Schizosaccharomyces pombe: one gene and its partner. Changing the gene in region 1 together with any one later gene gives a genetic interaction. Each region holds a gene or a part of one and is shown on either strand. Other genes may lie near its edges.

Region 1 (3,808 bases):
TTGGTCATTTAAACGGCTTAAAGAGCGATAGTAAAATTGCCAAAAGTTAAACTCCTCTAAAGCCGTTTTTGAAATTTGATCATGAAACAATTTAATCAAACTGCGAGTTGTTTTCAACCAGACATTAACCAAATTACTAAGAGATTTATAAAACTCAGAGTCAGAAAGAACTTTTGACGGTAATAATCGAACCGATAGATCTAGATTGTTCTCTTCTGCATGCTTGATTGTCGAAAGTATTAATGGATGATGTTGAAGGATTGTATCAGAATTTTGATATTCACGGCAAAAGAAGGTAAACGAACGTTCAAAATCAGCAAACTTCTGGCATGTAAGTTCCAATTCTTTTCCTTTTGATGGTGAATTTAAATCAATCGTTGAACGATCGTCCACAGATTCCATAGCCAAATAAGCAGTAAAATAACAACTCATCACATATTTTGTGTATAAAAAGATAGCATTTATAGGACGCTCTGGTATTTCATTAGATTTATGGCCTCCTTTTAATATAGGTAACTGATTTATATAAAGCATATTTTGCAATGTTAAAGGTGTATCAGTTAGTGGGAATCTTTTAAAAATAGCAAATGCTGAGGTGCCGGAAAACACATCTTGCAACAAACTAGTCCATTGAAAAGTCATATTTCCGAAAGTGCAAGAGTCAGGAGAAGTGGGAGAACTCGTCAAACAAGGACTACCATATAAATAAATAACTGTATAATATTCATCATTAATGAAGCTGCGAAAAGTGTCCACGAAAGTAGACTGTAGTGCAATTGTTTCGCATATATCATCCAAATTATCAGAAACAGAAAGAGAAAGGAGTTTCTTCAAGAAAATCAGAATTTCATCGGACACCGTAGATAATTGACATTGTGAATTATCGTTTTTATCCATGGTGTCAAGAAAACTTGACCGGCTTTTTTAGAGTACCAAAGGTTCTTTAAAAATCTAGGTGGTAGTGTTTCATATTGTTTGATTATTGAAATCGGTAACGCGGAACAAAGAAATCTAATAATCGTAAACAAAGAAAATTTGCTGTATAAAAACAAAGAAAGCTTTTAAGGAGCATCATCAGACAATAGGGTTTCAAAGTCGCCTCGATGATTCGGTTTCGTTTGACATTAAAATACTACGGTGGAAACTTTTGCAAAGGCAAGTCTCTTTCTAAAAAAAATATTATTTTAATGCTAAAATCGCACCAACCTGTATAAAAGAATTCATTTCAATCTCACCAAAATCAAGTAAATTAATTGAAAAGAATTTTACTACGGGAAATTCCAAACGTTAAAGACATGTTGATAATCATCTTCTTATATCAACTGCGAACAGTTAATTATTTATAATCGTGCCTAAAATATTATGGCATTGATTAAATTTTAGTATCATTAATTTACCTCGGCAACTTTTTAGAATTTAGGTATGTGATTAAAAATGATGTTCCGAATCAAAAGAAGATTTACAAAAATTGTAAGCAAATTTCACAGTTGATATCAGCGTAAAATTTGTCTGTTAAGAAAAATCGTACCATTTATGTGAAAATTTTCAACGCTTGCTAAATAATGTGGTCAATGTTTGTAGATATATTAGCGACGTTGCATCGCTTGAAAAGTTAATCAACACCATCCAACTTATATTGACAGAAGTTAGTGTGAAACAATAGGAAAGAAGTGAGTCCTCTAAATAAATAGATAGAGGGAAAAAAAGAAAATTGAGCGCTTTAAGAAATATACCGCTTTTGATACATCGCTACTTCTAGGAAGAAAGTAATACGCATTACTATTATTCCCTTACTTAACTGATTTAAAACAAAACACAGCGCTAATTAATATCATTTCTCTTGTCGAATTTGATATTTTTTCAAGAGAAATTTCTTGTCAGTTAAACATGTCTTCAGAACCCGTTCCCCAAGCAGTTATTGATGAATTAGAGCGCGTGCTTGTCAATTTAGATAAATCAAATCCTCTTTCCTTTCGCTATCGTGCCCTTTTTAGTCTGAATGCGTTGGCAAAGAAGGGGGACAAGCGTGCCGTTGATGCGATTTACAAAGCCTTTATTGATGATTCCGAATTACTGAAACATGAAATGGCTTATGTTATGGGGCAATCAGGACAACAATATGCTGTTCAGCCTTTGATTAATATTGTGAACGATCTTGACCAACAAGTCATGGTACGTCACGAAGCAGCTGAAGCCTTGGGAGCCTTGGGATTTACTGAAAGCCTTCCTGTTTTGGAAAAATACTATAAGGAAGATCCTTTAGCTCCTATTCGCGAAACTTGTGAACTGGCTATTGCCCGCATTCAATGGAAGAACGGCCTCGATAAGAATAATGAGAAGATTACTCCCAGTATGTATGATTCAGTTGTCGATCCCGCTCCTCCCATGCCCGATCACGAACAAGATGTGAAATCTGAGGTAGCTAAACTTCGTTCTGAAATTGTCGACCAAAATTTGCCCTTATTTTACCGTTATCGTGTGATGTTTCGTTTGCGTAACATTGGTAACGAAGAAGCGGTGTTGGCTTTAACAGACGGTTTTAAGGATCCTTCCCCTTTGTTCCGTCATGAAATTGCTTTCGTTTTCGGTCAAATGATTGCTCCTGCTTCTGTTCCTGCTCTGATTAAAGTGTTGGAAAATACTGAAGAAGTTCCCATGGTTCGCCATGAAGCAGCAGAAGCATTAGGTGGTATTGCTAACGATGAATGCCTTCCTGTTTTAAAGAAGTTTTCGAAAGATGATGTACGTGTTGTTGCAGAATCCTGCATCGTTGCTCTTGATATGATCGAATATGAGAAATCTGGTGATATGGAATATGCCTATATTCCCAAAGTTAGTGCATAATGTGGATTCGTATGGTTGGGTTCGCTACTTTAGCTTAGCCAGATTCTTTGGGTTTTCATTGTAGATTAGGATTTTAAATTCTGGGTATTTTTGGATAACAGTTATTGAAAATGTACATTACTGAAAATTTCTGAAATTCATTAATAAAAATTGGTTAGTAGTTTATTGGAATTTATTGGTTACTTTATTGCATAAGTTTTTTCTTTTTATTTTATTTCTTTCAATACGTCGTAACACTCAAGTTTTAAATTTTGTGGTAAAGCATTAAACCCACCCAATTACCATTGAGGTCCTAGAATTTACTAGTATGTACAATTGTGTAGTGTGAAGTGACCAACTACTGTTTCAAAATATATCAGTTCCTTCAAATATCCAACGCTTACTGCATTTCTTTGCAAACGCCCAGAGAACATTGAAATAGTGTTCTTTTACTCACACCGCCCATATTGATAACAACCAAATTTTTTGGTTTGTATAATAGATTGAATAAATTCACACAGGATTAAAAATGATCATCCAAAAGAGAGTGCAAATTTAATAGTACGAAATTGTTAAACGCTAAAAGAATGACCTCTAATTTGAAAAGAAACTTTGAGTATCTTGTTCAATATATACAACCACATCTCAGACCCAAATCTTCTCACTCTATTAGTTTGGGATATTTGTCCAAGGAAAAAATAAGCCAAGAAGAAATGCAAATTATCAGGGCTACTCAAAAATTGGCCAGAACTAAATATATGACTTTGTACTGTATACCAAGAGCTTGGTTAATTCCTTTTCATGAATTTTTAAACAACAGGTCATACCGCTTTCCTAAGTTAGATTATTCTCAAACGCCAATCCGACTGGCTATAAGGTCTGGAAAAAAATCTGTTCATAAAAGTGCAGTTGTACGCCATCATAACACTACTCGTATTAGAGAAACCTTTATAGATATTATTAAGGCTCTGTATGTTAACGAAAA
Region 2 (3,970 bases), on another chromosome or scaffold:
AAAAACGTTAATTATAAATCATATATCTGGCTTTCGAACAATTATTTATTTGCTAAGCATTCATATAGATCAAATTCATGAATCTTGTATAGCTAGGTAGAAGGAAGCGTTAGAATCGGTAAATTCTTAGCAAACCGAACAGGAGGTGACAGCCATGTAGTCAGTAATTCGTACAACTCATAAGTTACCCAAAGGTACATAGATATATGCAGATAAAATAGATATAAATTTAATAATTGTTCTAAAATTAACTGATAATTGTTCAAGCGCTTAGATACTTGTTTTCTGTAATATGAATTATGTCTTTACATCTCTAGTTCATTTTATGAACAATAATGACCACAAGAACAAAATTCAAATCAGAACTGGTTATGATGATGGACTAACTGGTTTATACACCGTCCCCTGTTACAATATACAATTCGTAGAAAACGCTTTAGTTTTTCAAAGGAAGCATTATTCTTGAATGAAACTACAAAAAGAACAATTTGATTAATTATTCCTATTTCCAATTCTTGGATAATTCAAAGTTTTATTAAATGAAAATGAATAATCTCCCATTTCAGAACTATATGTTCCAAACTGAACAGAAAAAAGGTTTCGACAAAGATTGTATTAGATTACAGTGCAGTAAATTTGAAACCATTATCAATTATTCTAGCGCAACTTTCTCATAACCCAAATTGCGTATATAGATGGACGCCAATTTTAAAAAAAATGCAAGTTATTTTCACGAAAATGCGAGGGCATCTTCATGAGTTTGATCGAGATCGTATACAGAACCCCCTTTTTGTTATCCTTTTCGCATTAGTTTAACCCAGCATACAACTCATAAAGAGAGCAATATGATTCATGGTTAAGAGGCAATCAAAAGGACGCCTGGAAGGAAATATTATAAAATTGCTGAAATAAAAAAAAGTATTTAAACTTGTTTAAAAGAAAACGAATCGTATGTGTAGATTCAAATATTCATCAAACCGAATCGTGAATTTCCGTTTTCTTAGTATAATAAATATAGGGATCTCCTAGTTTTAATCATGACAATATAGAAAATTTCCCGAATAACTGAACTATTCATCATCAGAAACTAACAGCGTCACCTCGTCTTTTTTCTTCTCCTCTATTTTAGTGAAAGGATTGACCGAGTTATCGTCTTTCTTTTGTTCAGAGGCATTCTTTTCTATTGTAGAGTCAACAGAAAGTAAAGATATTTCTTCTGTCAGCGTTTCAACACTCGTATCAATCAACTTTTCCAATTCATCAGACCATCCTAATAGTTTACATAACGCACGTACTTGGGAATCACAATCCCCCAATATCATGATATCCTTTTTTCTCTCCCCAAAGTCGCCAGCTGGTTCTCGATTAATCAAAACTCGTTGACATTTATTTGGCACTATTTCAGGCAAATCCGCGAATGGATGAACAAGTAAACTTGTTCCAATTACCAGTGCCATATCACAGACTTTTGTGTCCTTTTCCATGTGCTCGAAGAAACGCATTGGTAATCCCTCGCCATAAAACACAATCATTGGTTTGATGAGACCTTTGCAACTGTTGCATTTAGGGACCTGTTTTTGCATAATACATGCTCTAACATACTCCGTTTCCGCCTTTGTTTTCCGTCAGTAAAACCAATTTCTGCTTTTTCACTTTAACTTTTTCAAAAACAATCCTTACCATTTCGTAACATTCAATACAGCGGCTGTATTGGAAAGAGCCATGTGCTTCAATCAGAGCTTTGTCAGGCACACCTGCCAAACGCTCCAAGGTATCAATATTTTGGGTATAACATTTTTGTAGTAACCTTTTATCATGTAAAAGGCGTATAAAATAATGAGTATAAGTTGGTCTATACTTTTCAGGCATCAATTCGTGAGCCAATTCGTAGAATGGACGCGGATTTTTTCGAAAATAAGATAGATCAAAAACAGCTTCTGCGTAAGGAAGATTAAATCTTTGTAAATTATTGTAAATTCCAGTCTCAGGGCTTCGAAAATCAGGGATTCCTGCTGCAGTGCTGATCCCTGCACCAACCATAACACATATTTTCTTTACTATTTTCGATAAAATCGCATTAGTATGGTCAAGGAAAGAAAATTAAAAGTCATTACCTTTTCCTTCTTTGATTAAGGATGCAACTTTCTCTAAATGCTTGGAAGAGTCGACGTGTTTAACAGTGTTTTTCACCATTGTCGAATTTCTGAGAACAACCAAAGCAAGCCAATAATCGATTTACCTTAAAAATCCCAACTCAAACTCTTTCAAAAATTGGATCACTTAAAATTCTCAGATATGAACAAATCAATATGTTAATGCACAAAGTTTGTGGGTACGCCAAATTTCCATTATTATTTACTCGTTGAAAATATCAAACGCCATTACCGATGCTCCATTAAACTGCATTATACTGTTTAAAAGGCTATTGTATTCGACTTTAGTACTCGTTATTTGGTAAACATTTAGAGCCATCTTTTTCAATTAAGAGTTTCTGGATGTCGTTGAAAAAATGAGATACGGGGTAATCAGAAATTATGATTAATCAACTTTCGGCTCACTTGATTAGATTCAGCAACGATAACTCTTGACTTTCTGGTTTTACTTATTGGGTTGGTCACACCAGTTTGACATATTAGGTGTCAAAGTTTTTTATAAGTTTATCATTAGTTAACTATTTTTTATCTTTATAATCAGTGTCATGTACGACTATAAATGTACGATTAAAGAATCATCGTCGGGAAAGAAATAATGAATTTGAGAGAACAATCCAAATTTGCGCTAAGAATTTTAATGCTGCTAATGTACACCGTTTTATGGTGCAATGGTGTGCTATAATTTTCCTTATTACATATTGCGGATATCATTGCGCTTTGTTAGTGCTTCAGTTTCACTTACGTTATACACATGTTTACATTCTAACTAGAGCCTATACTTCATTTTGTTGTAACGCAGAAATTCATTTAGATAGGTGTTATAGACGTAAATGAAGCAAAGATTTTCCGCTTTAGATATTGCTGCGATTGCTGCGGAATTACGAGAACAAGTGGTTGGGTGTCGCTTGAATAACTTTTATGATCTAAATGCGCGTACCTTCTTGTTGAAGTTTGGTAAACAAGTATGTGTAGAAAGTAATAAATATTTTTTTACTAACCCGTTAAAGGATGCAAAATATTCTATTGTTATTGAAAGTGGGTTTCGTGCTCATTTAACAAAATTTGATCGAGAAAATGCCCCTTTGTCTGGGTTTGTAACGAAGCTACGAAAACATATAAAATCTAGAAGGTTAACTGGTGTCTCTCAGTTGGGTACTGATCGAGTACTCGTTTTCACATTTGGAGGTGGTGCGAATGATCAAGACCCCGATTGGACGTACTATCTGGTTTGTGAATTTTTCGCTGCTGGAAATGTTTTACTATTAGACGGCCATTACAAGATTCTGTCTCTTTTACGAGTGGTCACCTTCGATAAAGACCAAGTTTATGCCGTAGGGCAAAAGTACAATTTAGACAAAAATAATCTCGTTAATGACAATAAATCTCAGTCTACTATTCCTCATATGACAGCTGAACGATTAAATATCCTTTTGGATGAAATAAGCACTGCTTATGCTTCTCCTACTTCTATTAACGAACCTTTACCTGACCAACAACTATCCTCTTCTACAAAGCCGATTAAAGTACCCAAACCAGTTTCTCTTAGAAAAGCATTGACTATAAGATTAGGTGAATATGGTAATGCACTTATAGAGCACTGTCTTCGGCGTTCAAAATTAGATCCACTATTCCCTGCTTGCCAGCTCTGTGCAGACGAAACCAAGAAAAACGATTTATTAGCTGCTTTTCAAGAAGCCGACTCCATATTAGCTGCAGTTAATAAGCCCCCAGTAAAGGGTTATATATTTTCACTGGAGCAAGCACTAACAAATGCTGCTGATCCTCAACACCCTGAAGAATGTACTACATTATACGAA

The links. Genes that interact genetically often act in the same process or in processes that back each other up.
Region 2: mutations in mmd1 (region 1) and hst2 impair growth when combined (synthetic growth defect), as found in Schizosaccharomyces pombe (one large-scale study listed by BioGRID).

What each region holds. Positions count from the first base shown.
Region 1 is NC_003424.3:4,633,860-4,637,667, forward strand, and holds mmd1 (deoxyhypusine hydroxylase), read left to right. Parts: upstream 1-1,615; 5' UTR 1,616-1,887; coding exon 1,888-2,844; 3' UTR 2,845-3,039; downstream 3,040-3,808. Other genes in the region: dynein heavy chain, minus-end directed microtubule motor Dhc1, read right to left, coding at 1-897; SPOM_SPAC30C2.03 (uncharacterized protein), read left to right, coding at 3,411-3,808. UniProt on the Schizosaccharomyces pombe protein: Catalyzes the hydroxylation of the N(6)-(4-aminobutyl)-L-lysine intermediate to form hypusine, an essential post-translational modification only found in mature eIF-5A factor.
Region 2 is NC_003421.2:1,327,321-1,331,290, reverse strand, and holds hst2 (histone deacetylase, Sirtuin family, NAD-dependent Hst2), read right to left. Parts: upstream 2,340-3,970; 5' UTR 2,194-2,339; coding exon 2,115-2,193; exon of another isoform or gene 2,113-2,114; intron 2,058-2,112; coding exon 1,681-2,057; exon of another isoform or gene 1,614-1,680; coding exon 1,071-1,613; 3' UTR 501-1,070; downstream 1-500. Other genes in the region: ribosome quality control complex subunit Rqc2, read left to right, coding at 2,984-3,115, 3,161-3,970. UniProt on the Schizosaccharomyces pombe protein: NAD-dependent histone deacetylase, which could function in telomeric silencing, cell cycle progression and chromosome stability.